Diceros bicornis minor: one gene and its partners. The protein of the gene in region 2 interacts with the protein of the main gene of each other region in a biochemical or structural test. Links are inferred from orthologs where the notes say so. Each region holds a gene or a part of one and is shown on either strand. Other genes may lie near its edges.

What was found.
Region 1: the proteins of UBE2D1 (region 2) and TRIM28 form a complex in vitro, tested with the Homo sapiens proteins (2 studies listed by BioGRID). The link is inferred for Diceros bicornis minor from reciprocal best matches to the Homo sapiens genes UBE2D1 and TRIM28.
Region 3: the proteins of UBE2D1 (region 2) and RNF167 form a complex in vitro, tested with the Homo sapiens proteins (3 studies listed by BioGRID). The link is inferred for Diceros bicornis minor from reciprocal best matches to the Homo sapiens genes UBE2D1 and RNF167.

What each region holds. Positions count from the first base shown.
Region 1 is NC_080773.1:38,312,649-38,322,335, forward strand, and holds the start of TRIM28 (transcription intermediary factor 1-beta), read left to right. Parts: upstream 1-3,850; 5' UTR 3,851-4,130; coding exon 4,131-4,467; intron 4,468-4,803; coding exon 4,804-4,916; intron 4,917-5,145; coding exon 5,146-5,278; intron 5,279-6,913; coding exon 6,914-7,049; intron 7,050-7,134; coding exon 7,135-7,251; intron 7,252-7,333; coding exon 7,334-7,448; intron 7,449-7,569; coding exon 7,570-7,716; intron 7,717-7,825; coding exon 7,826-7,940; intron 7,941-8,025; coding exon 8,026-8,132; intron 8,133-8,221; coding exon 8,222-8,258; intron 8,259-8,342; coding exon 8,343-8,388; intron 8,389-8,460; coding exon 8,461-8,713; intron 8,714-8,804; coding exon 8,805-9,124; intron 9,125-9,205; coding exon 9,206-9,329; intron 9,330-9,419; coding exon 9,420-9,506; intron 9,507-9,586; coding exon 9,587-9,687. Other genes in the region: ZBTB45 (zinc finger and BTB domain-containing protein 45), read right to left, coding at 3,227-3,238. UniProt on the Homo sapiens protein: Nuclear corepressor for KRAB domain-containing zinc finger proteins (KRAB-ZFPs).
Region 2 is NC_080745.1:46,257,742-46,267,428, forward strand, and holds the start of UBE2D1 (ubiquitin-conjugating enzyme E2 D1), read right to left. Parts: upstream 6,084-9,687; 5' UTR 5,912-6,083; coding exon 5,888-5,911; intron 1-5,887.
Region 3 is NC_080757.1:11,693,551-11,703,237, forward strand, and holds RNF167 (E3 ubiquitin-protein ligase RNF167), read left to right. Parts: upstream 1-3,423; 5' UTR 3,424-3,496; intron 3,497-3,632; 5' UTR 3,633-4,045; coding exon 4,046-4,129; intron 4,130-4,212; coding exon 4,213-4,293; intron 4,294-5,590; coding exon 5,591-5,716; intron 5,717-5,820; coding exon 5,821-5,908; intron 5,909-6,097; coding exon 6,098-6,188; intron 6,189-6,403; coding exon 6,404-6,509; intron 6,510-6,650; coding exon 6,651-6,744; intron 6,745-7,400; coding exon 7,401-7,481; intron 7,482-7,559; coding exon 7,560-7,867; 3' UTR 7,868-8,083; downstream 8,084-9,687. Other genes in the region: SLC25A11 (mitochondrial 2-oxoglutarate/malate carrier protein), read right to left, coding at 843-998, 1,129-1,180, 1,261-1,360, 1,446-1,536, 1,619-1,709, 1,886-2,092, 2,182-2,334, 2,948-3,042; PFN1 (profilin-1), read right to left, coding at 9,345-9,687.

The DNA of each region.
Region 1 (9,687 bases), on a different chromosome or scaffold from region 2:
CCTCCTCCTTTTTTTTTCCCCCCAAAGAACCAGTAGATAGTTGTATGTCATAGTTGCATATCCTTCTAGTTGCTGTATGTGGGATGCAGCCTCAGCATGGCCGGAGAAGCGGTGTGTTGGTGCGCGCTTGGGATCCGAACCCGGGCTGCCAGCAGCGGAGTGCGCGCACTTAACTGCTAAGCCACGGGGCTGGCCCTTAACTATTTTAAAGTACACAATTCAGTGACATTAAGTACATTCATGTGTTGTGCAACCATCACCACTGTCTAGCTCCTGAATGAAATCTGTGAACACAGAGCAAGAGATTGGAGTGATGTAGCCACAAGACCTCCCCAGGAAGTGGCTCTGGGGGTGACACCTGAAGCTGGATGGAGAGCCAGGTGCAGGTGTGGAGTTTGGGGAAGGAAGAGAGTGAGGGTGCCTGTTTGCAGGCAGGTGCCCCAAAGGGGCAGTAGGCAGGCCTTGGCTGGCCTGGGTGCAGTCTGAGTGACTCCTATGCATTGTTTCACCCCTGGAGCCCTGTCTGCAAAGCCAGAATAGAGACAGTTTCCAGTGGTCCAGGACTGGGAAGGGTAAGATGCTGTAAAGGGTGGGCAAGGAGCACAGAGGATGAGAGTATAAGGTGACACTGACACTGACTACACTCAGTCGGGTCTAGCTGGGGGACAGAGCCAAGATGTACCTGTGTCCTGCCATACACCTCTGGACCTCTGAATAGGCTGGCTCCTAAGAGAGGACCTCTGAGCAAGGGTTCTGCCCTGGCCTTGCCCTCCTGTATGCCCACTCTGGTTCAGCCAGTCCTAGGATGCCCCTTGTGCTTCCCTGAGTCTGCCTGAGCCTGGTTTCCAGTTGATTCTCCTCCCCCATTGCTGTCCTGGCACTTCCAGAAGCCTTGGTTTCCCCATTTGGACAATGGGGCTGGCAGTGGCCAAGCACCTGGTGGTAAGGGGACTCTCCAAGGCCTGCTGCTGGCACCTGGTGACATCCTGCTTGTGTGGCTGCCAAGGACTAGGAAGGAATGTCCTGGGCCCAGAAGGAGAAAGGGGGGACTGTTTAGAGAGAAGAGCATGGGCCTTGGTGGACCATTGAAACCACAGGGCCAGTTGCCAGAGTCTAGTGAAGGGCCTGTAACCAGGGGCAACCAGAGGACCAAACCTATCCCCAGATAGCTGTCTGGCAACTTCTAGGCACCTCCCACTACTCCTCACTTCACTGCTCCCTTTGTGCCTGGTCTGCCTCAGGGCCTTTGTACTTATTGTTTCTGCTTGAACTGTCCTTCCTGCAGGTGTTTGGGAGTAGCCCCAAGGGGAGTCCTCTCCCACACTCTTTACCACCACTTAGTTATTTTGACTGTCTGGTCCCTGACAACCCTGCGTCTGCCTCAGGAGCCAGAGTAAATATGGGTCAGTCCTCCCCACACCTCCTCAGAGATTTTGCGGCCCCGTGCAGGGTGGGGTCGTGGAAAGTGCTCAGCAAATATTACTAACGGACGCCACACCTCACGCTGTGCACTGCCAGCCACCAATTTCCTTCCCAATTATCAGAGGAAGTAAGCAACGGTCCGTGGACAGGGTCTTCGGGAACGATTAAGAGGCAGCGGGCCAGTCAGTGAGGGGGCGTGGCCCGGCGGACCTGCTCCGGTGGCCGCGGAGGCCGGGACTATGCAGCTGAGGGGGCGGAGCGGCGCCCGGATTTGGGGGCCGCGCCAGGGCTGGAACAAAGGCGGGCGCGGAGACAAAGCCCTGCGGACCCCCGGCGGCAACAAAGGCCACACCCAGCCCAGTAGGGCCGGACGCGTCTCCGCCGCCGCCACGTGTGGGCTCCTGGGGAGCTGGGTTGGGGGAGGCTGCGCCCCGCTCTCCCCGCAGCCTGGGCGTGTGCGAGGTCTGGAAAAGTAGAGTCGAGTCCCGGGGCTGGACCCGCCGGCCCTCCAGGCTCTCTGCATCCTCTCAGACCTGTGCCCTCCAGCCTCATCCTGGCCTGGAGACCTCAGGACCGAGGAGCCCTGCACAGGGGGCCAAGGCCCAGCCCAGGGACCAGCTCCGAGGCACCGATCCCTCGAGTTTTCTCCGTGCCTAGTGACCCCAGACAGGATCCCCTCCCAGAGACCCTGCTCCCACCGACTCTGCTCCCACCTTAAATAGGATTCTCCTCACAGACTGCTCCTACCTCAGACAGGATTCCCCCCACATAGACTCGGCTTCCCCTCAGACAAGATCCCCTCCCACAGACTCTGCTCCCACCTCAGAGAGGATTCTCCGTACACAGACTCTGCTTCCTCTCGGACAGGATCCCCTCCCACAGACTCTGCTCCCACCTCAGACAGGATCCCCTCCCACAGACCCTGCTCCCACCAACTCTGCTCCCACCTCAGACAAGATCCCCTCCCACAGACCCTGCTCCCACCAACTCTGCTCCCACCTCAGAGAGGATCCCCTCCCACAGACTCTGCTCCCACCTCAGAGAGGATCCCCTCCCACAGACTCTCCTCCCACCTCAGACAGGATCCCCTCCCACAGACTCTGCTCCCACCTTAGATAGGATTCTCCTCACACAGACTGCTCCTACCTCAGACAGGATTCTCCCCACAGAGACTCTGCTTCCCCTCAGACAGGATCCCCTCCCACAGACTCTGCTTCCCCTCAGATAGGATCCCCTCCCACAGACCCTGCTCCCACCAACTCTGCTCCCACCTCAGACAGGATTCTCCCCACACAGACTCTGCTTCCCCTCAGACAGGATCACCTCCCACAGACTCTGCTGCCACCTCAGACAGGATTCTCCGCACAAAGACTCTGCTCCCACCTTAGATAGGATTCTCCTCACACAGACTGCTCCTACCTCAGACAGGATTCTCTCCACACAGACTCTGCTTCACCTCAGACAGGATCCCCTCCCACGGACCCTGCTCCCACCAACTCTGCTCCCACCTCAGACAGTATTCTCCCCACACAGACTCTGCTTCCCCTCAGACAGGATTCCCACAAAAACGCCATGTTTCTTTCAAATAGGATGTCTCCCACCCCCACAGGCCTGCTCTTCCCCATCTGACAGAATTCTCCGCACTCTGCTTCCTCCCTCAGACAAGACTCACCTGCCCCCATCCTACTCCCCACTGAGGGAGGATTCCCCTCTCTACAGATCCTGCTTCCTCCGACAGGATTCACTCCCCCAGACCCTGCTTTCCTCCTTAGAATTCCCCCACTGTTAGGTTCAGTTTGCCCACCTGGAAAAGCATCAGTCAGCGCAGCGGCTGGCTGAAAGATGGGAAGGGAGCGCTTGGGGGGCCAGGTGACTCGCTGCTCTGTAGTCTCTTGGGATCTGTTTGATTTAGGCAAGTTTCAGTGTTTCTCGTGTTAAACAATAAAAACGTTAAAAGTCAGCCTCCCGGCTCAGAAGAGCACTTCCTCCTCCGACGGGGACCCTCCGCCCATCTTCCTGTGTCCCGCCCCCTCTCCCGAACGCTTGTTGACGCAGCAACCAGAGACTTCTCTGGGCCGGCCAAAGGGGCCGGGATTGAGGTGGAGGCCCAGACTGCTAATACGCATGCGCACTATAGCGGCCTGGAGAAGGGGCTGGCTCGGGAGCACACCCTAGTAACTATGCGCGCGCCCCGCCCGCGGACTAGGTTGCGGCAGTGACGTCACAGATGCCCTGCCTCTGCCGCTTGAGCGGCGCGGTGGTGGTGTAGGCGGAGGTAGGAGGACCCGGCTCAGGCGCATGCGTACTCGCGGCTTCGCCAGCGGCTGCCGACCTGAGCCCCGCCCCCGGGCGCAAGGCGCCTAGCGCGCCTGCGCGGCGGCGTCGGCGCCAGTTATTTCTGTCCCGCCCCCCAACAGCGGCTCTTTCTGCGAGCGGGCGCGAGGGTGAGCAGTTGTGCGAGTGGTGCGTGGCGCTGGTCTTGGCGGCCGCTGAGGAGGAAGCGCGGGCGTCGGCTGCGGGAGGCGAGCAGGCAGTGGGCGGCCAGTACTCGGCAGCGCCCCGCGCGCAGCGGGCGGCGGCCCAGGCGGCGCGTGGCGGCGCTCGGCCTCGCGGCGGCTGAGGCCCAGCCGTTGGCGGCGAGCGCGTCTGCGCCTGCGCGGCGGGACCCGCGCCCCTCCTCCTCCCTGGGCGCCCCCGGCGGCGTGTGAATGGCGGCCTCGGCGGCGGCGGCCTCGGCGGCGGCGGCGGCCGCCTCGGGCAGCCCGGGCCCGGGCGAGGGCTCGGCGGGCGGCGAAAAGCGCGCCGCAGCCTCCTCGGCCTCGGCCTCGGCCTCGGTTTCGGCCTCAGCGTCGTCACCCGCGGGGGGCGGCGGCGAGGCCCTGGAATTACTGGAGCACTGCGGCGTGTGCCGGGAGCGCCTGCGGCCCGAGAGGGAGCCGCGCCTGCTGCCCTGCTTGCACTCGGCCTGCAGCGCCTGCCTCGGGCCCGCGGCGCCCGCCGCCGCCAACAGCTCGGGGGACGGGGGTGCAGCGGGCGATGGCGCCGGTGAGTACGGGCTGGCCCCTCTCCCGACCACGCAGCGTTTTATCCCAACTTGGCGCAGGGATTGGGGGCCTTACCTGCGTGGTGATGGCGGGGGATCGCCCGGGCGGGACGATAGGGACCTGTACAGTGCTTGGCTGGATCGGGCGCTGAGATGGAGCGTCTGGTTCAAGTTTGGTGAAGGGTCTGGTTCAAGTTTGGTGAAGGAAGGGTTTGGCTCCTGCCCCGGGAGGGGAGGGTCTGGCCTGGAATGGAATGGAGATTGGGGCCCTGTGCGGGGATGGTGTTACAGCCTGAATGTGAACGTGCAGTGGTCTTATTCCTTCCTGTTTTTCGCAGTGGTGGACTGTCCTGTGTGTAAGCAGCAATGCTTCTCCAAAGACATTGTGGAGAATTACTTTATGCGCGACAGTGGCAGCAAGGCTGCTTCCGACTCCCAGGATGCGAATCAGGTATCTCTTTCTCCATCAACTTCCAGGAAGCCTCAGGCCATGGGGAGGGGGGCACCAGCCCAGGAGCACGGTACCAACGGGAGATTTTATTCTCCCGACACTACAGCGGTCTGGGTAGGCTGCCTAGGCTAGGTAAAGGCAACACCTTGCTTCAGGTCGTAGTTCCTGGGATGTAAATGAGTATCTGTCTGGTGGTTCTGTCTTCTCTGATTCTGCCTTTGCCTAGCAGTGCTGCACTAGCTGTGAGGATAATGCTCCTGCCACCAGCTACTGTGTGGAGTGCTCTGAGCCATTGTGCGAGACGTGTGTGGAGGCACACCAGCGGGTGAAGTACACCAAGGACCACACCGTGCGCTCCACTGGTATGTAAGGCTGAGGGGGTGGCCCAGACTGTCTTCCTACATATGCCCTTAGTTGCTTATGATGCAGGTTGCAAGTGGCGAATGGGTCCCAGGGAAGTGCTTTAGGGGGTACCAGCTGAAGGGCCTGAGGGCAGAACTCAGAAATGGGGAGGTTGGGGCTCTGGTATGCAGTTTCTGCAGGTCTAGGTGGGCGGGGAAAGGCCACAGACAGGGCTGGGGAGCGCACAAGGGACCTCAGTACACACCCTCAGGGGAATGTACGAGAGTTTGAGGAAGCTCATTGGGATAGGCTCCAGTGGTGTAGGGACAGGCATGTGCAGTCAGGGAAACAAGGCATTTGGGGAAGGTTGTGAGGGGCCTCCTGGATCTGGGGTTCTCTGGCATTTGGTTTAAGGCTCTGTAGGGGAAAGTGAGGCTTCTGGGCTACAGTATGTTGACAAGCTGTGAGGGCCCTTAGACCATCATTGACAGTGAGTCTTAGAAGTATTTTCGCTTTGTATTGTAGGTGTCTTATTCAAAGATCAGGCAAGTATTTTTAGATTTTTTTGTGAATATGTTGGCAGTGGTACATTAAGGGGCTTGGGAGTCTTCTGAGTCTAGCCTGGTTTTTAGTCCAGAACTCCTTGTGAGTGGCATTTTGGTAGTTACACTGTGGTCTGTTCAGTTCAGAGGTAGGAAGATGAGGGTGGAGATGGTGGCTTTGGGGCATGAGGAGCCACGAGGGAAGGGCAGGGGTCTGCAGCGTGTCCTGGGTTCCAGACAAAGTTCAGGGTGCAGGGGGTGCAATATTGGAGGAGCCAAGGCCTGGCTGGTCTATGTTTCAATGTTATGTCTCAAGCCGAGTTGGTGTACCCGGCACATAATTGGGATTGGGGAGGAAAGAAGAGCAGATGTTCCCAAACAGCCTTCTGATGGTGACAGGCTCTGTGTGTGTGTGGGGGGTCAGCATAGTATATTGGCTTCTTGGTGGTATTACTCTGAGCACCAGGACCCTCCCTGTGGAGAGGGTGCCTGATACCTTTCTGAGTGTCCTGGTCTGATGTCTTATCTCTCCCAGCCTGAGAAGGCTTTGCAAGGCCTCCTGTGGGCCTGTGGGTTGTAAGAAGTCAACACTCTTCTCTTAGCAGAGGAGAGGGGAGGTCACCAAGCATTGCTCTTAAGGAAATTGCCTGTCTCTAGGCCCTGATTTGCTCTCTGTCTGTGCCAGAAAGTGAATATTCTGCATGCTGGGTTGCCACAGTAGTCAGAATCCCCTTCTCTTCTGGACAGAACCTGCTGTGAGTGGAGGAGAAAGGGAGCCCACTGGGGGGTTTGGAGGAGGGTCTCTCCTGAGTGTCCACCTGGAGAAGATTCTAGTAGAGGGAACAGTAGAGGGGAGGTTTCTCCTGCCAGAGATCATCATCTTTACATTTTGTGTTGTTACTGCCAGAAGCTGGAAGGAGGGGCAGGCTGGGACAGAGGGTTTTGAGAGCAAGGATCTGGGTTCTCAGGCCTGTGTTTCTCTGGCCACTGCTTCAGGGCCCTCTGGGTTTTCCCAACAGACAGCCCAGGACAGGCAGGAAGTGAGGCCCCAAGCCCTGTCTGCTCCTTGAGTGGCTGAGGGTAAGCTCCAGCCTCATGGTTCCTGTTCCCCAGGGCCTGCCAAGTCAAGGGATGGTGAGCGCACGGTGTACTGCAATGTGCACAAGCATGAGCCCCTCGTGCTGTTCTGCGAGAGCTGCGACACCCTCACCTGCCGGGACTGCCAGCTCAATGCCCACAAGGACCACCAGTGAGTCCTGAGGTAGGGTGGGTCAGTGGGTGGATGCTGTCTGTTCCTATGCACAGTGTGCAGGACTACTTCTGTCTGCTCTCAGATACCAGTTTCTGGAGGACGCAGTGAGGAACCAGCGTAAGCTCCTGGCCTCGCTGGTGAAGCGCCTGGGAGACAAGCATGCGACATTGCAGAAGAACACCAAGGAGGTTCGCAGCTCGTAAGTGGAGATGCCAGGGTCATGGGGTTCCCTGGGTGAGCACCTGCCTGACTAGACCTGACTTGACCAACCCTGCCTCCAGGATTCGCCAAGTATCTGACGTACAGAAGCGTGTGCAGGTGGATGTTAAGATGGCCATTCTGCAGATCATGAAGGAACTGAACAAGCGGGGTCGTGTGCTGGTCAACGATGCCCAGGTACTCCCCATGTGCGAGGGAGGGTTCCTGGGCTCTCTGCTGGCTGCTGATGTCATCCTTGGGTGGGGAGGCGTTCTAGTGCCCTCTTCTCTGGTCAACCTCGTTGCCCTTTCATCCACAGAAGGTAACTGAAGGGCAGCAGGAGCGCCTGGAGCGACAGCACTGGACCATGACCAAGATCCAGAAGCACCAGGAACACATCTTGCGTTTTGCCTCTTGGGCCCTGGAGAGTGACAACAACACAGCCCTGTTGCTCTCCAAGAAGCTGGTGTGTGCTGTGCTGGTGGGCACCCAGGTGGTGGGTTTCAGGGAGGTGCCTCCCAGCACCCTGGATCCCTGTTCGCTGCATTTATACTCAAGCACTGCCCCATCCCCAGATCTACTTTCAGCTGCACCGGGCCCTCAAGATGATCGTGGACCCTGTGGAGCCACATGGCGAGATGAAGTTCCAGTGGGACCTCAACGCCTGGACCAAAAGTGCGGAGGCCTTTGGTGAGTCTTTATCTTTCCCCGTGCTGTACCTTGTCACCATCCCAGGCACTGTGCTTATTATGCTAACTTTATTTTCTTCCTATAGGCAAGATCGTGGCAGAGCGTCCTGGCACCAACTCGACAGGCCCTGCGCCCATGGCCCCTCCGCGGCCTCCAGGGCCCTTGAGCAAGCAGGGATCTGGCAGCAGCCAAGTGAGCAGGGGAGGGGGACTCTGGGGAGGAGAGGGGTGTGGGGTCCCATGGGATGCTTGCCTACTGAGGTTCAACTGTTTTGCCCGCAGCCCATGGAGGTGCAGGAAGGCTATGGCTTTGGGTCAGGTGAGTGGGTCTGCTTGGTAGGTGGGAGAGTTCCAGTGCCCTAGGTCTACCTTAACCTGCTGTCTCTTTTTCTGTCTTGAGCAGATGACCCTTATTCGAGTGCAGAGCCACATGTGTCAGGTGTGAAGCGGTGAGTGTGGCTATCCTTGGGTGGAGCAGGGTAGGCATAGGTATGGGTGCTCATGCCAAGGCGCACCAACAGGTCCCGCTCTGGGGAGGGTGAGGTGAGCGGCCTCATGCGCAAGGTACCACGGGTGAGCCTCGAGCGCCTGGACCTGGACCTCACGGCTGACAGCCAACCACCAGTATTCAAGGTGTTCCCAGGCAGCACCACTGAGGATTACAACCTCATTGTTATTGAGCGCGGTGCTGCAGCTGCTGCTGCTGGACAGCCTGGGACTGCGCCCCCTGGGGCCCCTGGAGCCCCACCCCTGCCTGGCATGGCCATTGTCAAGGTGAGCTTGCCCCAAGTGATCTTGGCTGGGAGATGGATGACATTTGCCGTCCAGGCCTTCACTCTGTTGAACGTCCCTCACCGCCTTGCAGGAGGAAGAGACAGAGGCTGCTATTGGAGCCCCGCCTGCTGCCACTGAGGGCCCAGAGACCAAGCCTGTGCTGATGCCCTTGGCAGAGGGTCCTGGTGCTGAAGGCCCTCGCCTGGCCTCACCCAGTGGCAGTACGAGCTCAGGCCTGGAGGTGGTGGCTCCAGAGGGCACCTCAGCCCCAGCTGGTGGCCCAGGTGCCCTGGATGACAGTGCCACTATCTGCCGTGTCTGCCAGAAGCCAGGCGACCTGGTTATGTGCAACCAATGCGAGTTCTGCTTCCACCTGGATTGCCACCTGCCTGCCCTGCAGGATGTGCCAGGGTGGGAGGCTGTGTGGGGTCTCTGGGGGCTGGAGGGCAGGACCATGTCCTGTGCAGCCCCCTCATTCTCTATTGCTTCCAGGGAGGAGTGGAGCTGCTCACTTTGCCATGTACTACCCGACCTGAAGGAGGAGGATGGCAACCTGAGCCTGGATGGTGGTGACAGCGCCGGTGTGGTGGCTAAGCTCTCGCCAGCCAACCAGCAGGTGAGGGCAGGGGCTCACTCCCTTGGGGGTTGCCCAGTAGTTTTACTCTCCTTGCCTCCATGGTTCTCATGTCTCCCGTAATGTTCATAGAAATGTGAGCGTGTCCTGCTGGCCCTGTTCTGCCATGAGCCCTGCCGGCCCCTGCACCAGCTGGCTACTGACTCCACCTTCTCCCTGGTGAGTCCTGGGACTTGGGAGGAGAGGAGGGGCAGGGGCTGCCTGGTCTCAACTTCAGCCTATGTGGTCTCTGCCTACAGGATCAGCCCGGTGGCACCCTGGATCTGACCCTGATCCGCGCCCGCCTCCAGGAGAAGTTGTCACCGCCCTACAGCTCCCCCCAGGAGTTTGCCCAGGATGT
Region 2 (9,687 bases):
CTGCAAACTCCGGCCGCTGAAGCAGACTTAACCACTACACCACCAGGCCAGCCCCTCAAAAATTTAAAAGGGGTCAAAATAATAACACATGTCTGATCACAATGGAATTAAATTAGAAATCCATAACAGAAAGCTATCTGTTAAATCTCAAGTATTTGGAAACTAAATAATGTACTTCTAAATAACTCAAGGATCAAAGATAACTCAAGAAGAAATCAAAAGGGAAATTAGAAAATATGTTCAACTAAATGAAAATGAAAACACAACACATCAAAATTTGGGGGAAGCAAAAACACAGGCCAGAGTTTTACTGGTTTAGAGAAGAACAATGAGCCCAGACCATTGGGTCTGCTTGATTCCCTTTAGAGCAATCCAAATTCTGCTCACATAAGTAGGGTGGCCGCCTGCAGTGAGAAACATCAAATTATTTTTACTACTAAGGAAGTTTAAGGTGAAAGAACCAACCCCCCACCTAACCTAGGAAATTTGGAGAGGCTTTCCTAAATCTGAAAGCAGACCAGGAATCTAATAAGTGGTGTCACTGAAGGAGGAGAGCCACACACAGGAAAATATGGATAGAGAGCAGTGGGGGAAACATCCAGCAAGAGGCAAGGCAGGAAGCTGCAGAGCATGGTGGTGATCGGATGGGCAGCACTAGACTGCACGCATCAGGACAGTAGCTTCCTCCCCATACTAAGGACATCTTCTGGACTATAGCAGCCTCTTACTACTGTCTAATGTGTGTAATTGAACCTTCACAGATTCATCCCAGAAAATTAAATGCAGAAAAACCTCAGCTTCTTAGAGGTCATCTAGACCAAGCCAGGCCAGAAATAAAATCTGTTTTGCCTTTAGACAGATGTTCTGAGGTAGCCTGAGGTTCCAATCCCCAAACCCCGCAAATCTGGGTTATTACATTCTACTATCTTTTATTCTAGCATTTCACAGGGGTAAGAGGAGAGAGGACAAGCATCTCAATACCTGTTTTTAATTAAATGTAATATTAGTTCATCCACTGTTTAAAAAAGGTGGGGGAGGGGAGCTAATACATTGTAGACAATTGTAACTCAGTTTGATGAAAAGTATTAGGCTTATCATTTTGATTAGCAGCACTCATTAAATATGTTTTCTACCTGTATTTCAGGAAACTAAAGCAAGTAAGGATGTTATTCTGCTTTACTGGAGGCAATTCCACATCCTGCTAGGTTTGGTTTATATATGTGCCTGGCTTCCTAAAATAGACATAAACAGCCTTATTTAGATCTATGCCATTTATTTCCACAGAGAAGGAACCTCAGAACTTTTTAACTATAACAGATTATCTAATCTTTTTATACTTTTGTTGTTATGAAGAAAGAAAAATACATGATACTGGGGGCAAAAGGAAGACTGAGCTTAATTACAAAGATTTAAAGCAGAAAAATTCACATGGTGGCTTTTTAGAAAAAGAACACTTTCTTCCTTTCATTTCAAAGCAAACCATTTACCTACCAAGAAGCATAAATACTATGTATTTACCTACCAAGAAGCATAAATACTATGTTCCTCCTTTTTTTAAATTTTTAAAAAAGTTATATCCTTCTTTATTCAAAGAACCTGGAGTCTTAGATTTTTGTAATCTGAAAGTCTTTCTAACATATCTGTCCAATCCAAACAGTTGACTACTATTCAAAATCACTACAGGAACTAAACAGCTATAAGGATTCATAAACAGGTTTCACAAATGAAAACTCCGTAATGAAATGATACTTTTGACAGAATGTTAATGAAATACAATCAATTTTTCTAAATCCTTTTGGAGGAAAAGAATTTTAAGTGATGTAACAAAGATGAACAAAGTTATATTATTCATTCACCATGTTAAATGATCCAGTGTACATTACTTGAGAGCAGAGATTTACAATGCATAATCAACACACTGAGTGATGTGTCAGTAAAAATGATTAAATATGCCAAGGTCTTAATTATAACACCACTTTATATTTGTACAGAACATTCCAGTTTGCAAAGCACTTACATCCATAAACTCACTTGATTCTATATGTCCTTCAATTTAAGTACAATAGATATAAGAGGTGAGTCCATCTGGATAAGAGAAGCTATGTACTGAAATGGTTAAGAGCATGGAATCTGGAGACAACTGTCTGGTTTGGGATCCTAGCACTGCCGCTTACTAGATATGTGATTCTGAGCACATTACTCAACATCTCTGTGCCTCAGTTTCATCATCTGTAAAATGGGGATAATAATCATTTCTATCTCTTGGGTCCACTAAGGATTAAATCAATTAACATACGTCAAGCACTTAGAACAGTGCCTAGCAGAGAGTAACCATTATATATTGTACACGCTGGTTGTACATATCAGCAGCATCATCGTATGGACAGGGAAACAAGCTGGTAAGTCACAGAGCCAAGAATAGAAACCGGATCTTCTCCCAGTTGATGCTCCATCCACAGAGAGCTGGGTTGTTTTTAAGTATCCCAAGGTTTTTCTAGACTGACATAAACAGTTTAATTGTACAAATCAAAAAATCCAGCAGCTCAAAACATTTAAAAAGTTATATTTTAATCTATGTTTATATATACATTTTAAGTTAAATTATTTAAAAAAATATATTCCGTTTTGTGGACAGAGCTGTACACTAAGGAATACTTATCTGTGTTGCTATATTTGCAAAACACAACTCTTCTGTTTCACTTTTCAAAAGATAGACCAAAAAGGCAACAAGCCTATCATATCACATCATGTTAGTATGACCATTACTTCAATTTATCAAATAAAAAAATCTAGAAGGAAATATACTAAGATGATGATAATACTGTATTAGGATTTTCTTTTTTTCCCTTCTGATTTTCAAAACATTCAGTATTGTGATAAAACATTCATAATTTTAAAACTGATTTCCCAAACAGGTTTATCGAGGACCAAAAATAGTATTGATAGAAAAAACACTCAGAAATTAATTCTAGCAGATAATAAATGCCTAGGTAAAAAACTGCCCTCTTTTTTCAGACGTGTTTTAGGTATATTTCCTCAGACTTTGTTCAAACTTTTTACCTTTCTTTAGTGATTTAGCTAACTGTGATAACATCTTCCACTGTATCTAAAAATAGGGCATGGGTGTGTAAATTTATGAGCTGAAATGCAAAACTGGCACTGGATGTCTAAATTAGAGTATTAAATCATTTAACATACTCTAGTATAAAAATATATTTTAAGCGTTGATATCCACATACTTTGTATACACATTATACATAATTTTAACTCAATCATCTTTAATCTTTTCATATGAAGTGAAGAAATGTGAAGTCATGAACTTTTTTTAACATTCTCAACTATGCCAAATCATTTCTTAAGAGATTAACTTGGACAAAGCATTCCTCCACTCCAGGCCTCAGATTCCTTCTTTGAATAATAAGGAGAGTAAACTAGAACATCAGTGGTCTCAACTTTCTTTCCACTTCAGCCCATCTGAGAGATCCAACATCTCTCCCTTTACAGCTATGGGGACAGTTTGAAAATGTCCCACAGGGGATTCTGATACACTACCCTGCCCCTGCCCTCTACTCCACTACTGCAGAGTTCTTTGAGGTGCCACACAGCTCTAAAGTCTGGCACTTTAGGTACAGGAAAATCACAACCCAATGACCTGGAAGGTATCTGACAGTGTTAACACACTTAAAAAGGCAGGCCAAAAGTTAATATGCATTTTCTTTTGTTAGAACATGCAAGCCTCAAATAAGAATTTGTATACTGATGATATCAAAGAGGGCTTTGAAACTATTCATATGGCAAACAGCACACCTCACCTGGAACTGGATTCTAATCAAGGAGGTGGGTAAAGGAGGAGGAAAAGTGGGGAATCAAACAAAATAATACCCTCTTTAAAGTTTGAGGGAATGGTTTGAACATGTGATTAATGGAAAGAAGATTTCTGCAATTTTTCTGATAACAGAAAAGACAAAGACTGACACACAGAGACATTATGTTATGTGATCCCCAGTTTCTTCTCACAAGTATCAATTTGTTACAGGTCTGACATCGATTCTATGTAAATGATTTTTTTTATCAGACAACTCTGTTATAAATTAATAATAACTAATAGCTACTAAAAATATGGTTTAAGCATGCCATATTATGAATATAAATATAAATATAAATATAAGCCAAATACATTGACTCAGCATGGTGATTGACAATTGCTCAGTATGGTATATACAAATAGTGTCCATTTTCTTTGAATGTCTACTTACTGTGGACAAAGTCTACACTATTTAAAAGTTATTTTATGGGCAAAGTCTTGTGAAAAATTGTCACAACTGGAAAGAAAGAAATGGAATTTTAAAACTTCCTTGGAAAATCTGTGTTGTTTAATTCAAGTGTGAGCCAGTATTACATCATCATTAATAAGTATACAAGGCACGGCAAAGATGCTGACTAGGGCTTCAAAACTAGGATTACCTATATGAAAAAAATGTGTCGCACTATTTTCAAATCAGAAAACACCTTAATCATAAATGCTGATTATTAGCTATATGTGTTATAGTGAGTGGACCCTTAACTGGCAAAAAAGAAAAAAATTAACAGTGATCCACAGATTTAGTATTGGAACCAAAAAAACCAAAAAAGAAAGAAACAAACTGGCTGGGTCTGAAAGCTGCTGTCCTCTGTACCAGAAGATGCCACCAGTGGTGACTGAGAATACAATGTACACATCTCTATAACTGCTCTATTGATTCATGCCTGAAAATGTTGATAAAAATTTGCGGTAGGCATAGATTTCTTCTGAAATCATTTGCCAAAACATGCTGTCCGTTGCTGGCATAACTTTCTGAACACATTCCCCATTTAAAAAACAAATTCTCAATGTTCTCCACATAAACTAAAACTGTAGAACCTAAAACTTGTGTCAGTGAACAGACCAATAACCCCAACAAGAAATAAAAGTGAACAGAACGAAAATGCCCCAAACCCAATTTTGTAAGATGTTCACATTTGAAACAGTAGCAATAAATACTATGCAAGAGAAGACAACTCCTTACACGTACTTGGGATGGACAAATATTTGTTGAATGAATACGGTATACATTTCTTCCTCATTCTATACCCATGTGTTAAAGCATCAAACAATTTAATTCGTGGCAGTTTCTGTTGTGTCTCGAACTTCACATATAAGTTTATTATGAGGGGAAAAAAACCTGTTTGGCTTGACTCACCATGAATCACAGCCAGGAGGTCATCTTGTTGTGTATCAGCAACTATGTTTTCACTACAGCTATGTGACCTGAAGTGGCAGCAGCAGAGGCACCAAAATAGAAGGGGCAGGAGGCTTCTCGGCCCCAAATGAGCTTTTCCAGCCCATTCGGGCATCTGAGCAAGAGCAAACCGCAGAGGAGAGAAAGAACAAACCCAACAGCTCCGAGGAGAAAGGCTGCAGGCCCACTACACCTTCCTTGCCCTCCCCGGGAGCCCGGAGAAGCAAGAACATAAAAGAAGATGGGCTTAAGAAACACAGAAGAGAAATCACAGCATGACGGGGGCCAAAACTAGCCCGGTGTAGGGCAAAATCCAGCCGTGACCGTGAAGCACAGATTTCGGGAAGCTCTGGAGACGGAGGAGGATCTCCACCCGATGGCTTCGGGCGCGAGCGCGCAGCGGGCCCCCTGCCTCCCAGCACCTCCAGCCACCGGGGACCTGCCCCCGCTCCCGCCTCACCTGTCCGGCGCCCGCTGGCCCGGCCGGTGTCTCCCGCGCCCGGTCCCCGCCCCGGCCCACCCTCCCATCCCATGTCCTCCTGGCGCGTCTCTCGGGACCTCCGCCTGGGTCAGCGTGGGCAGGGGGCCGAAGCCCGCTCCGCCGCCCCGGGCCTGGCCCCGGCACTCACTTTCTGAATCCGCTTCAGCGCCATGGGTCAGGGAGGGCGGCAGGGACACCGGCCGGCGGGGGCGGCTGCGGGGCTCGGGGGCGTGCGGTCGTCGCGGGCTCGGCTCGCTGGCGGCTCGGCTGGCTCAGCCCGGTGGGTCCCCGGCTCGCCGTCCGCAGGCTCGCTCCGGGCGCCGGTGCCTGTTCCGTGTGCGCCCGAGCGCGAGTGTGCGCGACTGTGCGGGCGGGGACGCCGGCGAGACTCTTTTGTTTCCGCTTTTGCTTCTGGGAAGGAGCCTGCGCCCTCCCCGCCCCGCCCCGCCGGGCACACTGGGAAGTGTAGTTCCAGCCCTCTCCTCGGCCGCCGCCGGCGGGTTCCTGGCTGCTGACCTCCACCCCGCAGCCTGGGCTTGGAGCTGCCGGGGTCTTGAGCTGGCCTCCGCAATTTGATTTTTAATGAAGTTACTGAACTGGCGTTCCCAGTCTGTAAAATGGGGATAACAAATTAGCTCGTGAAGCACTTAGGAATTTCTAGTATGTGCTACAGCTGCTCTTGTTATTTTTACCCTTACAGATTTCACTCTTCTCAAACAGACGAATTGGCTCAATTTCTCACACATGCACAGACTCAGACCAATTATGACTCCTTACTTACCTCCCTACTTCCTATTTCAAAAGGCGTCTCCTCTATCCAGCGCTAATCCCGCATGTCTGCTCCTCCTTCCAACTCCGACTTCTGAGCTTCACCCTCACTATTGGCTCCCTCCCTTCCGCTGACAGTACCTGCTCGATTTAGTCTATCCACAACCCCCATTCCCTCAATTCTCATGAACTGTGTGCTCATTAAAACTTGGCTTCTGCTTTCAGCACAAGCAGAATCGGTTTTCGCCAAGGTCGAGCTTGAGCTTCTGATTACGGAATCCGATTCACTCCTTATCCCCGTGATGTTTTTGACCCATTTGATTACTGGCCACCCTTTTGCCTTTCAAAACGCTCACTGCCTCTGGCTTCCATAGCGCCATGGTAGTTGGGTCTTCTCTGACTTACCCTTTTCTGTCCCTAGCTCCTGAAGAGTTGGAGTGCTCCGGAAGTCCAAGCCTTGATCTCTCACCATGAATATCTTCCTAGACGACAGACTTCGTGCCCTCCCGGAGCCTGGGAGGCCGCCCAGCGTGGCTGGAGGAGCGTGGGCTTTGTAGACTGACCACTCTCCGGAGGTGGAATCCCAGCCTCACTTACACCCACCGTGTGACCGTGGTAAGCCACTTAAACTCTCTAAGCCTCCGGTGCCTTACCTGTCCATAGAGATAATAATCTCTAGATGTATTATTGTAAGAATTAACTGGTATTAATATATATAATGTGCCAAACACAGTATCAAATATGTTGAAAGTGCTCTATAAAAATTATTCCCTTATTTGTTTTTATCTATATGATGATGACTTTAAAAATCTCTCTTTCCAGCCCAAACTTTCACCCCAGTTTTAGCCTCATATTTCCAAAAGCCTGCTAGACATGTCCACCTTCCTTCCCCATGGCCAGGAATGAGAGTCTGTTACTATAATGTGAAGGTGAAGGAAAGCTTTCCAAGAAGCCCACAACCATAGCTACCATAGCATTCTCAAGGCTTACAAAGAGCAAGGGACAAAAATTTACTCATATAACTTAAAAGAAAATGTCCAGGGGAATAGTGAAAGAATAATAGAAATAATTAATGGGATCTGAAACTTAATTTGGAAGCCTCCCCACCCCTCTCCCCCTGAAAAACCTAAGACAGGCCTGGAGCCCGGCTACGCTCTCCCTTTCCTTTTCCCGAGGTCTCGCCTCTCTCCGCACATTGGCCCACCCTCCTCTTTCCAGCTCCCCTTTAGCTTCTCTTATCCATGGCCTGAGCTCACACTGCCCTTGCCCTACTTTTTGACACTCTTGCGGCAACTGTTCCTGCTGCTGGAAGGCCTAGCCTTTTGGCACTTCCTATTTCATCTCCCTAAAAGGAAGAATGTCATTGATGCAACTCATCTTTTTACTCCAGGCTATAAATTCAGCTAGTAAACAAAGTATGGATTGACTACCCTTGGGTTAGGTGGCCACCCCATGGTCCAATCAGCTGTGGGAAGTTTGAAGGACTTTTGGGCAAAGAGGCTTCTGAAACAGACCAGCAAGGTGGTAGCATGCTGCAGAGAGGTGTATTTGGGCTAGCTTGATGCACCATTTTTGGGCTCCAGAAAGTGGAACCCTACTCCCACATCACTCTTCCTTTTTATAGGGCAAGCAAGAGAGTGTCCTTGTAAGTAGGGGAGAAACAGTCTAGGCTCGGGCACCAGCTGCTTTGCGGAGTCGCATTCCCAAGCTGATAGCATTATTCCCCCCCGCCCAAAGCCCCAGTAGATAGTTGTATGTCCTAGTTGCACAGCCTTCTGGTTGCTGTATGTGGGACGCGGCCTCAGCATGGCCGGAGTAGTGGTGTGTCGGTGCGCGCCTGGGATCCCAACCCAGGCCGCCAGCAGCGGAGCGCGCACGCTTAACCGCTAAGCCATGGGGCTGGCCCCCAAGCTGATAGCATTTGGATATCATGTTGGAAGCGAGGCCATGTTCAGCTGCTGCCACTATGGGGAAGCAGTAGTTGCAGGTAGCTCATTTCCAGGAAGCCCGGAAAAAATCTCCAGGGTCATTCAGGACTGATTATCACTCGATAGATAACAAAAATACACACTTAAGCAGAGGCTATGATCAAGACAATTTCATTCAAAAAGCATTGAGAGCCCAGGACACTGGCATCAATTTCTCCCTATTCCAGGATATCCTATATACTACTAAAAGACACACTAATCAATCACTCCAATGCTTAAAAATCTCTATGGGTTTATGTCCTGGAAGCCCAATGCCTCAGCTTACTGCAAAACACTCATCACAATTTGTCCCTAAAATCCTCCTTTCCATCTTTAGCTCACATACTATAAAGACACTAGCTCATATGCCTTTGCACAATGCATTCTCTCCACATAGAATGGCCTCCCACCATTCACCTGATAAACTCCTATGCATCCCTCAAGACCTAACTCAAATGATACACGATTTATGAGATCCTCCTCTACCTATTCACTGAGGTGGATTTATAATATTTATATTATTCTTTTAATTCCAGAAGCAAGATGTTCATACTTTAGGGATATCACTTATCTTATTCATGACTGGTTATCTCATTAGAACATGAATTCTAAGAACATATGGAAAATGTCTTTTTTTTTTTTAGTGAGTTAAAATTTACATACAGTGAGATGCACACATCCAGGTGTACAATTCAATGAGTTTTAACAAATGAATATACCTGTGTAACAACACCACAATTAAGATATAGAACACTGGGCCGGCCCCATGGCTTAGCGGTTAAGTGCGCGCGCTCTGCTACTGGCAGCTGGGTTGGATCCCAGGCGCGCACCGATGCACCGCTTCTCTGGCCATGCTGAGGCCGCATCCCACATACAGCAAATAGAAGGATGTGCAACTATGACATACAACTATCTACTGGGGCTTTGGGGGGGAAAAAAAAAGGAGGAGGATTGGCAATAGATGTTAGCTCAGAGCCGGTCTTCCTCAGCAAATAGAGGAGGATTAGCATGGATGTTAGCTCAGGGCTGATCTTCCTCACAAAAGAAAAGATATAGAACACTTCTATCAACGCAGAAAATTCTCTTCCAGTCACTCTCTACCCGAATAGGGAACCACTTTTCTGATTTCCATCGCCATAGATTAGTTTTGTCTGTTGTTGGATGTCATGTAAATAGAAAAATAAAATACATACTTTTTTGTGTTTGACCTTTT
Region 3 (9,687 bases), on a different chromosome or scaffold from region 2:
CAAGTCTCTAACACCCTCGCTTTCCTCAAGCCTCCAGGCTGTGGGGCCCTGCCCCTCCGCTCCTACAGGTCAGCCTTCCCCTCAGAGCCTCTTTAGCCCCTCCCTCTTCAGGCTGCAGAAGCAGCCACCAGACCCCAGAGGCTTTTGCCGGGATTACATGAGATGACCTGTGCGTCTGTCTGAAGCAGCACACAGGGCGTGGAGTCTTGGTTTTCCTCACCCTGTCAGCTGCTGCAACAAGACTCATTTACACAGCATTTGCATAAAAGCAGCGGGTGCTTGTTCTTTAATAATTTTTCTTAAAAACTCCAGTTCCTGTTCTTCAGGGGCATCTGCTTCTTTGTCCAGTCTCCTCCCCCTCCTGCCCCCACAACTCTCCAGATCTGGGGTGGTATTATCAATCCAATTTATTGATTATGTCCTCAGTGAGGTGGAGGAAGGGCCACGTCCACCCACTGCAGACCCTCTGACCATCTTGACAGCTTCTGCTCTCTCCTGTCCCCTCAGCTCTGCCTCAGTTTCCCCACTGAGAAGGGGGGATCTTCTGCTGTCCTATGTGTCCTCAAACTAAAACCCAAGAGGAGGCCAGAAATCCTCAGGGAGTTTCCCAACTCCCCCCAAGGCACCGGCAGAGACAGAGAGGTCATGAGGATCAGGACAAGCTGGAGCAGGGGTAGGACAGACCAAAGTCCTCTACCGCAGAGGAGAGAACCACACTGTGGAGGGAAAATAAATAGAGGGGCCCAGGGCAGCAGAGTCCAGGCCCCCCGGGGGTGCACTGACTGTAGGAGCAGCGAGCGAGGGGGAGCCCCGGCACACTGGCTCCAGGCCCCTCGCCCGCCTCAGCCACTGAGGAAGAGACGCTTGTAAGCTTTGTTCATCTGCTCCAAGAAGATGAAGGTGAGGACGGTGTGGGGGCCCAGGCGGGCATAGTATGGTGTAAAGCCCTTCCACAGGCTGAAGAAGCCCTCGTAGCGGACGACCTTCACCAGCACATCCTAGACAGGCAAGCAGAGCGCAGAGGCTAGGACCTGGCCTCTGGGGCCCTGTCCCTCTTACCCAGCCACTCTCACTGCCCTCCCAGGGCATCCAATCCTCCAGCCCAAGCCCCCAGCCCTGCCTCCTCACCAGTCCGTTCTTGTATTCTGGCTTCCCATCAATCATTCGCATGTTCTGGATCCTGAAGGAGAGGAGGTAGGGGCATGAGAGACACAAAGGGGGCCCTCCTATCCCTCTCCAGGCCCAGGCCTGCATACTCACCGGGTCTTGGCAATGTCCACGGGCATGGAGGCGGCAGTAGTGACCAGGCCGCTGATCATGCTGGCACAGAAGTGGCACAGGATGTTGTCAGAGAAGTAGCCTGGGGGAGGTGGAGCAGGGGTGGCAGTCAGCTCGGAGCTGGCCCAGGCCAGGCGGGGAGCTGGGGGCCCAGCTCTGGATCTCACCTGAGTCCAGTAAGAACTGTTTGGATTGGGAGTAGGAGGCGAGCTGAGCAGCATTGACAACGACAGCCCGAGCCATGGTAGGGATACAGCCCTGGGGTGGGAGAGTGGGAGAAAAGTCAGAAATGCCCGAGACCTGACTCCATGTCCCCCAAGTCTCCAGCCCCTTCACTCACCCTCCATAGTGTGAGAACCCCCTCCTCCCGGACAATTCGAACCAGGGCATTAAACACGTTTTTGTAGCCACGGCGCTGGTCGGGTGGAAGCCTGGTGAGAAGGCAGGGAGAGGCCAAGCTCAGGATTGACCACCCTGCCCCACAGGAACAAAGAAAGGGAGGCCAGAACAAGTGAATGCTCTGCTCTAGATCTAGGATACGACATCAGTTCTTTCATTCTAGATTCCAGGGACCTGGTCTGAGGGCTGGCTCAGACCTGGAACTCACCGGCCATCGGCAGTCATGCGGATAAGAGCCACCTCAGCTGGTGTTCCTACAAAGGCACCAGTTGCACCTGCAGTCATACCAATCACGGCCTTCAGCAGAAACCCCGGGGGTGTACCATCAGCCCCAGTCAGGCGCTCAAATAGCACGGTATAGATGCCAAGGCGAGTAGTGGTGTAGGTGGCCTGGCGCAGCAGGCCAGCTGACAGCCTGGGGAGTGAAGGGGTCAGTGCATCAGGCCAAGGTCTGGAGCTGCCAACCACACCCTACCCTTCATCCTGTGATAATGGCCCCAATACCCAGTGTAAATGCCCCTCAGCCCTTCTGCCTTCAGGATGCTGGTGAGGGCATGGATGCTGGTTTTATACTCTCGTGTCTTGGCTCCTTCCCCACTCAGCTGCATCCGGTTCTTCACCAGGTCCAGGGGCTGCACAAAAACTGTAGCTCCCATCCTGGAGGAAGACAGGGGTGGAGTCAACGGCCAGGTGTCCCTGATCTACCAATGCCCAACGGAGCCTGGCAACTAGGGGTCACAAAGGGCAGGGCCTGCCATGCGACTGACTAAGTATTCAGGAGGCTGGTGGGCATGTGTATAACTCTCTGCATGTACCAGGAGCAATGGGTCTGAAAAATCCAGGGATCCAGTAGAGGCCATGCAATGAAAGCGCTCCATGCAGCTCCAAGGAGGTCAAGCAGTGACCTGGGACTGCATGCAGTCTGACCCAGGAAGGAGAGGTGGGCACTCATGACCTGAGACTCCACGTCGTCCGGCAGGAGCCCCACGCAATGACCTGGAACTCCACAGAGCCCGGCAGAGCCAAGCAATGGTTTGGGAAATTCAGGTGGCCCGACAGGGACTATGCAATGACCCTGCATGCAGCCCAGTAGGGGCCCTGCAATGGGTGAAAAGATCCTGGCAGCCCATCAAGGACCTTGCAATACCCTGGGGACCGCGCTGACCCCATGCCGGCTCGGTTCACTGCAACAGACCCAAAGATGAACTGGGCCCGGTTCCTTGCACCCGTCCCTTCATCCTCCTTTCCCATCCCTGGGGCCTGAGCTTACCCGGCCAGACCCCCAAACAGGAACTTGACGGACTTAGGCGAGGTACGGGCCTTCGCGTCCATCCCGCCAGCAGCGGGACTCGCCGTCGCCGCCATCGCCACTCAATGGCCCCCGGCGCCGAGTCCCGTGCGCGCGCGGCCACGCTCGCGCCCAAGGTGACACCGCGCGCGCAACAGGAGGGAGGGCGCGCGCGCGCACGCCCCTCAAGCTCTCAGGACCAGCACAAACTGGAAGCTGGCGCAGGCGCGCAGCGCAAAGGCGGCCGGGAGTAAGGCGGAGCTGAAGGAGGAGCTTCAAGGACGGGTGCGGGAAGGGGTGTGGCTGATTTAGAAAGCCAGAGTATAGACGCAGTTTCTACCGAATTGGAATCGCGGGAAAACAGAGAGGAGGTTATTTGAAGATCTCGCGAGAACTGTGAGCTACGCTAGCCAGAGTTAGGAGGTCTCTCGCGATAGATACAGCAAGATTTCAGCTGGTGGGAGGGAAGTGTGGTGAGGACTCTCGCGAGATCTGAAGGTACCGCAGCGGCGGCGCCGGGCAGAAGAAGAGGTTTGTAAACTGGGCAGCTGCAGGATCCCGAGCACTAAGGAGGAGAGGACTAGGTCGTCTTCAGGGGCTTCAGTGCTCCTTCCATCTTCACAGGCGCTCCCTCCACCTCTAACCTTTCTTTTAACCGGCCTCTTAGGACCGGAAGTCCTTCTTCGTGAGCGTCCAATGCTGGAAGTGGCCGGACTTTCTTTACCGGAAACCTTTTTCGGGGGATAGGAAGACGGCCCACCTGGCCGGAAGTCCCACCTCCTGGAGCTCCCCCACCCTTCCAGAAGTTTTTCTGTCACCTGTGTTTGCCTCCGTCCCTTTTCCGTTTTATCCCTGTTCCAGAAAAGGGTACATTTAATGTCTCCTTCCCAGCTCCACTAAACGGGTTGGACATCTCACTCCCCGAGTCGGGGTTTCTTCCCCGCTCCCCCATGTAGCTGGGAAGTGGGACCTGGGGGTGGTTGGACCCCTGGGCTCCTGAAGGGGGCGGAGAGGGCGCAGAACTCGCTTCTGCTACTGCTACCAGGACGCGGCCTCCTCAGCTTCTCCCCTGCGGCTGCCATGCACCCTGCGGCCTTCCAGCTTCCTGTGGTTGTGGCCACTGTGCTGTGGGGAGCGGCCCCTATCCGGGGGCTCATTCGAGCGGTGAGTCTGAGCGGCAGATCCGGGAAGGGCGCTGAAGACAGAGGTTGCAGGCTGAAGGGGGACATGGACTCTCTTGTCCGCAGACCTCGGACCACAATGCCAGCATGGACTTTGCAGACCTTCCAGCTCTTTTTGGGGCTGCCTTGAGCCAGGAGGGACTTCAGGTGATTTTCTTCCCATTTTTCTTGTTTCCCCTAAATCCTCCATCCTTCGTAGGGGTTGAGGAGCCTTGCCCTTGGGTGAAGTTGGAAGTAGGAAAAGAGTCCACTTAGCAACTAGGTGCATAAGCACATCCAGTGTGGAATCTAGAGGGAGAAGACCAAGTCTGCCCCTAGAACTCTGAGCCTTATAGGGAGACTGGAAGTGCACTAAGATAAAAGGCAGGGCAAAGTGGTGCTTATCAGTAGAGTCTTTTGAAGCCAGTTATTGGTTTTATAACCTTTGACAAGTTAATTATTTCTCTGAGCCTTGGATGGGTTTCCTGTAAAATGGGATGATAATAGAAATTATCTCAGCGTTGTTATGAAGATTAAATTAGATAAACAATTTTGTAGTACTTGATCACAAAGACTGCCACATAGCAAGAACTCAGTTGGGTCATAGCTGTCAGTATAGTTGTTTGTAAGAGGGGTAATTGGAAAATTAAAGGGAGGTGTTAACAAAATCAAACAGAATAAATTTTAAAGATCTTATTGGCTTTATTCAACGATTCATAAATCGGGCAGCATCTCTTCTGGTAAATAGGAAGGAGCTCCCAAGAACTGTACAAAATGAAAGACTTTGATAGGCAGAAGAGCACCCGAGGGAGTGTAGAGGGAGTTATACTAGCAGAAAGCTGATTGTGGCAGGATCACTTTTCTTTAGGAAAGGGCAGGGGTCTGTCAGGCAGATGACCTCACTAAGGCTGACCAGGTAATTCCAGATTGACTGGTTTAAGATTCTATTTCTGGGGGAGGCTGAAACCGTAATTAAGTTAGGTGTTAAGTCTCTGTTCAGTAACCTGGGGGCTCAGCACAAGTGACTCCATTTTGGGCCTGTTGTCTCTTTTTTAACAGAGGGGAGTATGTTTTGTATGAGTATGTACTGAAGAAGGGAATGTGAAACAGAACTTGAGAGAAAGTGACATGAATGAGTGGAGAATTGAATTACATTCAGTGGGAAACTGGAAGGCAGAAGAATTTGAATTAGCTCTGAGTATGGGGTATAGATTAGCTCATCTGGGACAGGGAGAGGGATATTGGGAAGGTCCGGTAAAGGGAGGGTTTGATGTAATTGTATCTTCACGAGGCTAAGAGAAGAGGTAGACTTCTGACTCAGGTGGGATGCTGAGGCCCCAGGAATGAGAAGGAAGTGAGGAATAGAGGACATGCAGCTGGTGGGAGCCAGTGTGCTTGGTGGGGCCCTGTGGGGAGCAGAACCTAGGGAGGTGAAATCCGACTGTTGTTTGCTTCTCTTCCCTAGGGCTTCCTTGTGGAGGCTCATCCAGCCAATGCCTGCAGCCCCATTTCCCCACCACCCCCAGCCCCGGTCAACGGGTCAGTCTTTATTGCACTGCTTCGAAGATTCGACTGCAACTTTGACCTCAAGGTTGCTGAATGTGGAGCGGGAGCTGGGAAGCTGAGGGTAAAAAAAGCACCAGGAATGGAAGTAAGGCCCATGATGGCTCCTAACCTCCTGCCTTGTCTCCCTAGGTCCTAAATGCTCAGAAGGCTGGGTATGGTGCAGCTGTGGTACACAATGTGAATTCCAATGAACTTCTGAACATGGTGTGGAATAGTGGTAAGGTTGGGGGATCTGGACAGCTGGGTTTTCAGTAGCGCTCAGACTGAGAGATGGTGGGAGGACTGAAAGTGTAGGGAAGAGAAGTCGATCCTTTGGGTGGGATGGGGCAAAAGAGCCAAATGCTAGAGTTACTAAAGGATTGGAGTGGAGGGTTGGGTCCCCATTGTAATGCCCTGATCCTTGCAGAGGAAATCCAGCAGCAGATCTGGATCCCATCTGTGTTTATTGGGGAGAGGAGCTCCGAGTACCTGCGTGCCCTCTTTGTCTACGAGAAGGGGTAGGACATGTCCCTCCTTCTTGCTCTTTCTTCAGCACTTCCATGCTAACCTGGAGCCCAAACCTCAGTGCCCCAACCATTCAGCCTGTGGCCCTTCATACTCTGCCTCTTGACTGTCTTCCCACCTCCTTCCCCACCCATGGGCCTTGTCCAGAGCCAGTTACTTTGTTCCTCTGCCTTTCCTGTCCCTCTGATACTCATCTTCCTTTTCCCAGGGCTCGGGTGCTTCTGGTCCCAGACAATAGCTTCCCCTTGGGCTATTACCTCATCCCTTTCACAGGGATTGTGGGACTGCTGGTTTTGGCCATGGGAGCAGTGATGGTGAGTAGCTCAGGGAGTATGATGGGAAGAGCTGAGGCCTTTAAAGCCACGCTGGATCTGGAGTTGGGAGGTGGGGATGGTTTGTACTGGATTATCCAGTTTTGTTCCCTAAGCCTGATCCATCCACTCCCCCTTCCCCAGATAGTTCGTTGTATCCAGCACCGGAAACGGCTCCAGCGGAATCGACTGACCAAAGAGCAACTGAAACAAATTCCTACACATGACTATCAGAAGGGTGAGGGGGATAGGGGAGAGGAGAGCCTTTCCCACAGCGTACCTGGTTCTAAAGTAGTTTGAGCCAAGGAGATAAGGGGCAAAGAAAGATGATAGGAAGATGCCACCTTTCCTCCTCTTTCTCCCCATACATACAGTGAGGACAGATAGGAATAGAGCAGGAGATGGAAGGCAAAAATGATTAAATGGAATAGTTCGGGGAAGAGATGGAGGCCCAACCTTGTTTATAAAGGGGAAAGTGGAGAGAACAGAAAAATGAAAGGAGTAGGGAGGATTGAGTGTGAGAAAGAAGAAACAGGTAAGGAGGGGCTGGGTCTTCAGGCCCTGGAGCCTCCAGTGCCCAAATAAGGCTATAACAGAAGCCCTGCCCCCCCATTTCCGCTCCTCCCATTCCCTCTCTCTCCGCCCTTACACCTCCCCCCAAAAAAACCACTTCCCTTCTTACCTCTGTTTCTCTTTGCTTGTCCATTCTAACTCCAAATTCCTCATGTTCTACCCTGGCCTTACTCTGCCCCAGGCTTAGCTCTTCCACTGGTTCTGTAGAACCAGGGAAGATAACTTGCAGGGTTTAGCTCTACCACAGGCCTCCTGGAGTGAGTTTTTGTGGGCTCTAGTCCAGGATGGCTCAGTAAAAGGATTCCTTTCATCCTCCCTCAGGAGACCAGTATGATGTCTGTGCCATCTGCCTGGATGAATATGAGGATGGGGACAAGCTGAGGGTGCTCCCCTGTGCTCATGGTGAGGCCCTCCCTTCCTGTGCCCATGCCCCCACTCCACCAGCAGGTACCAGGTGCTTCACCTCATTCTTCTCTGCAGCCTATCACAGCCGCTGTGTGGACCCCTGGCTCACTCAGACCCGGAAGACCTGCCCCATCTGCAAGCAGCCCGTTCATCGGGGTCCTGGGGATGAGGAGGAGGAGGAAGAAACTCAGGAGCAAGAGGGTGATGAGGCAGAGGAGCCAAGGGACCACCCTGCCTCAGAACGGACCCCACTTCTGGGCTCCAGCCCCACACTTCCCACCTCCTTTGGTTCCCTAGCCGCAGCCCCCCTTGTTTTTCCCGGGCCTTCAACAGATCTCCCCTCGCCTTCCTCCTCTTCCTCTTCAGTTGCCATCCTGGTCTAATGCTCCCCTTACCCCTCCACCTCTGCTGACCTGTTTGCACAGCCTCTCCTCTTTCCAGTCTTCTATGCTGAGAGAGGGGACATTTCCGCCCCAGGTTTCTCCCTTACCCAACCCCGTCCTTTTGAGGGGGTTGAGGGTGCAGAGGGACTGGGTCTTCACTTACTGAGTTAATAAAATTGTTTTCGTGGACTAAGGAAGGGTAAGATCCTTCTCAAACAGGTGAATTGCCCTTTTTTGCCATAAAGGGGCAGGGGAGTGCTGGGAGATTAACCTATAGTCATGGGGACAGCCCCAGCAGGCATTTTTTGTGACTCAGAGAGGGGGAGCCCCACCCACACATGAGGATGACTCAACTGGCCCTGCCTTTCCCACAGGCCTGGACCCATTCTCTGGTCTGGATGGTTCTATTCCATTATCCACCAATTCATCTAGCACACTGAGGACCTAGGACTGGAAATGCCACCGTGGAAGGGCTGGGCCACCTGGCCAGGTGGGCCTGAAGCAGGTGGCTCAGACCTGGACATGGAGGCAAGAAGCTCAAATTTCTAGTAGTGCCTCAACCCTCCTGCTGCTAACACCAAGCCAGGATAAAGGAGGCATGTCCCAGTGAGTGTCCTCCATCCTGACGCCCAGGCTAAAACCACACAGCACCTTGTTAGTAGAATCTTTTTTATTCAGAAAAAAAACCCAAAAAACAAAAGTTTTCCAACCACACACAGGAGGGGTATGGGTAGGGGGAGGTGTCTGTCCATCCAGCCCCAGCCCCCAGCCCATGTGGTTTTGGCAGCAATAAGGGGTGTGGGGTAATGGCCCCCAAAATAAAAATGGTGTATGTGTGTATATGGGAAGGGAAGGAAAGGGGTGCAAAAGCAGTGGGGAGTGGTGGGGGGAAGGGACAGACGAGGTCAGTACTGGGAACGCCGCAGGTGGGAGGCCATTTCATAACATTTCTTGTTGATCATACCACCGTGGACACCTTCTTTGCCCATCAGCAGGACTAGCGCTGGAGGAAAGAGAAAGAAGGCTAGGACCCAGGTGTCACAATTCCACCCCCTGCCAGCTGTTCAGCAGCTGTCCAGCCCTGGGGGCTGTAACCCAACCTCGTCTCTCCCAACCCCCCCCCCCACACACACAGGCAGGCTGTCAGTCACTCTGAAACAATAGGGCTTTTCAAAAGGGGAAAATCAAGCTTAAAGGCTGGAAAGGAACACACTAAAATTTAGGAGTCAAAGGCTTGTAGACTGTTGACTCCTGTTCAGCCTATAAATGGCTGTGAATGAGCCTGCCACCTCCAAGCTTTAACAAAAGGGCTCAAAAGACGTGAGCTAAGTGCTGACTTATGACCAACAGTCTACCTCCTCCAAGAAAACAGGGAGTTTCTCGTTTGAAAAGGTTCAAGCCAGGAAGGAACTTAAGAGATAATACAGTTCAACTTCTTTATATTACAAGATGAGGAACTGAAAGAGAACTGGAGGGACTATCCAATGTCCCAGCATCCAGCAGGCTGGGAGAGAAAGCTGGTTTGGTTCCTTGATATTGAGGAGGAACCACACAGAAAAAGAAGCCAAAAAATTAACAGAAGGAGGTATATTAGGGATCTTGGAGCTAGGAAAAGGGTAAGACTCAGAAACTCACTCTTGGCAGTCATGGTGACAGTGATGTTGAAGGTGGGGGCTCCGCCGGTGCTCTTGGTACGAAGATCCATGGTAAATTCCCCATCCTGCAGCAGTGAGTCCCGGATCACAGAACATTTCTGGCCCCCAAGTGTCAGCCCATTCACGAAAAAACTTGACCGGTCTTTGCCAACCAGGACACCAACC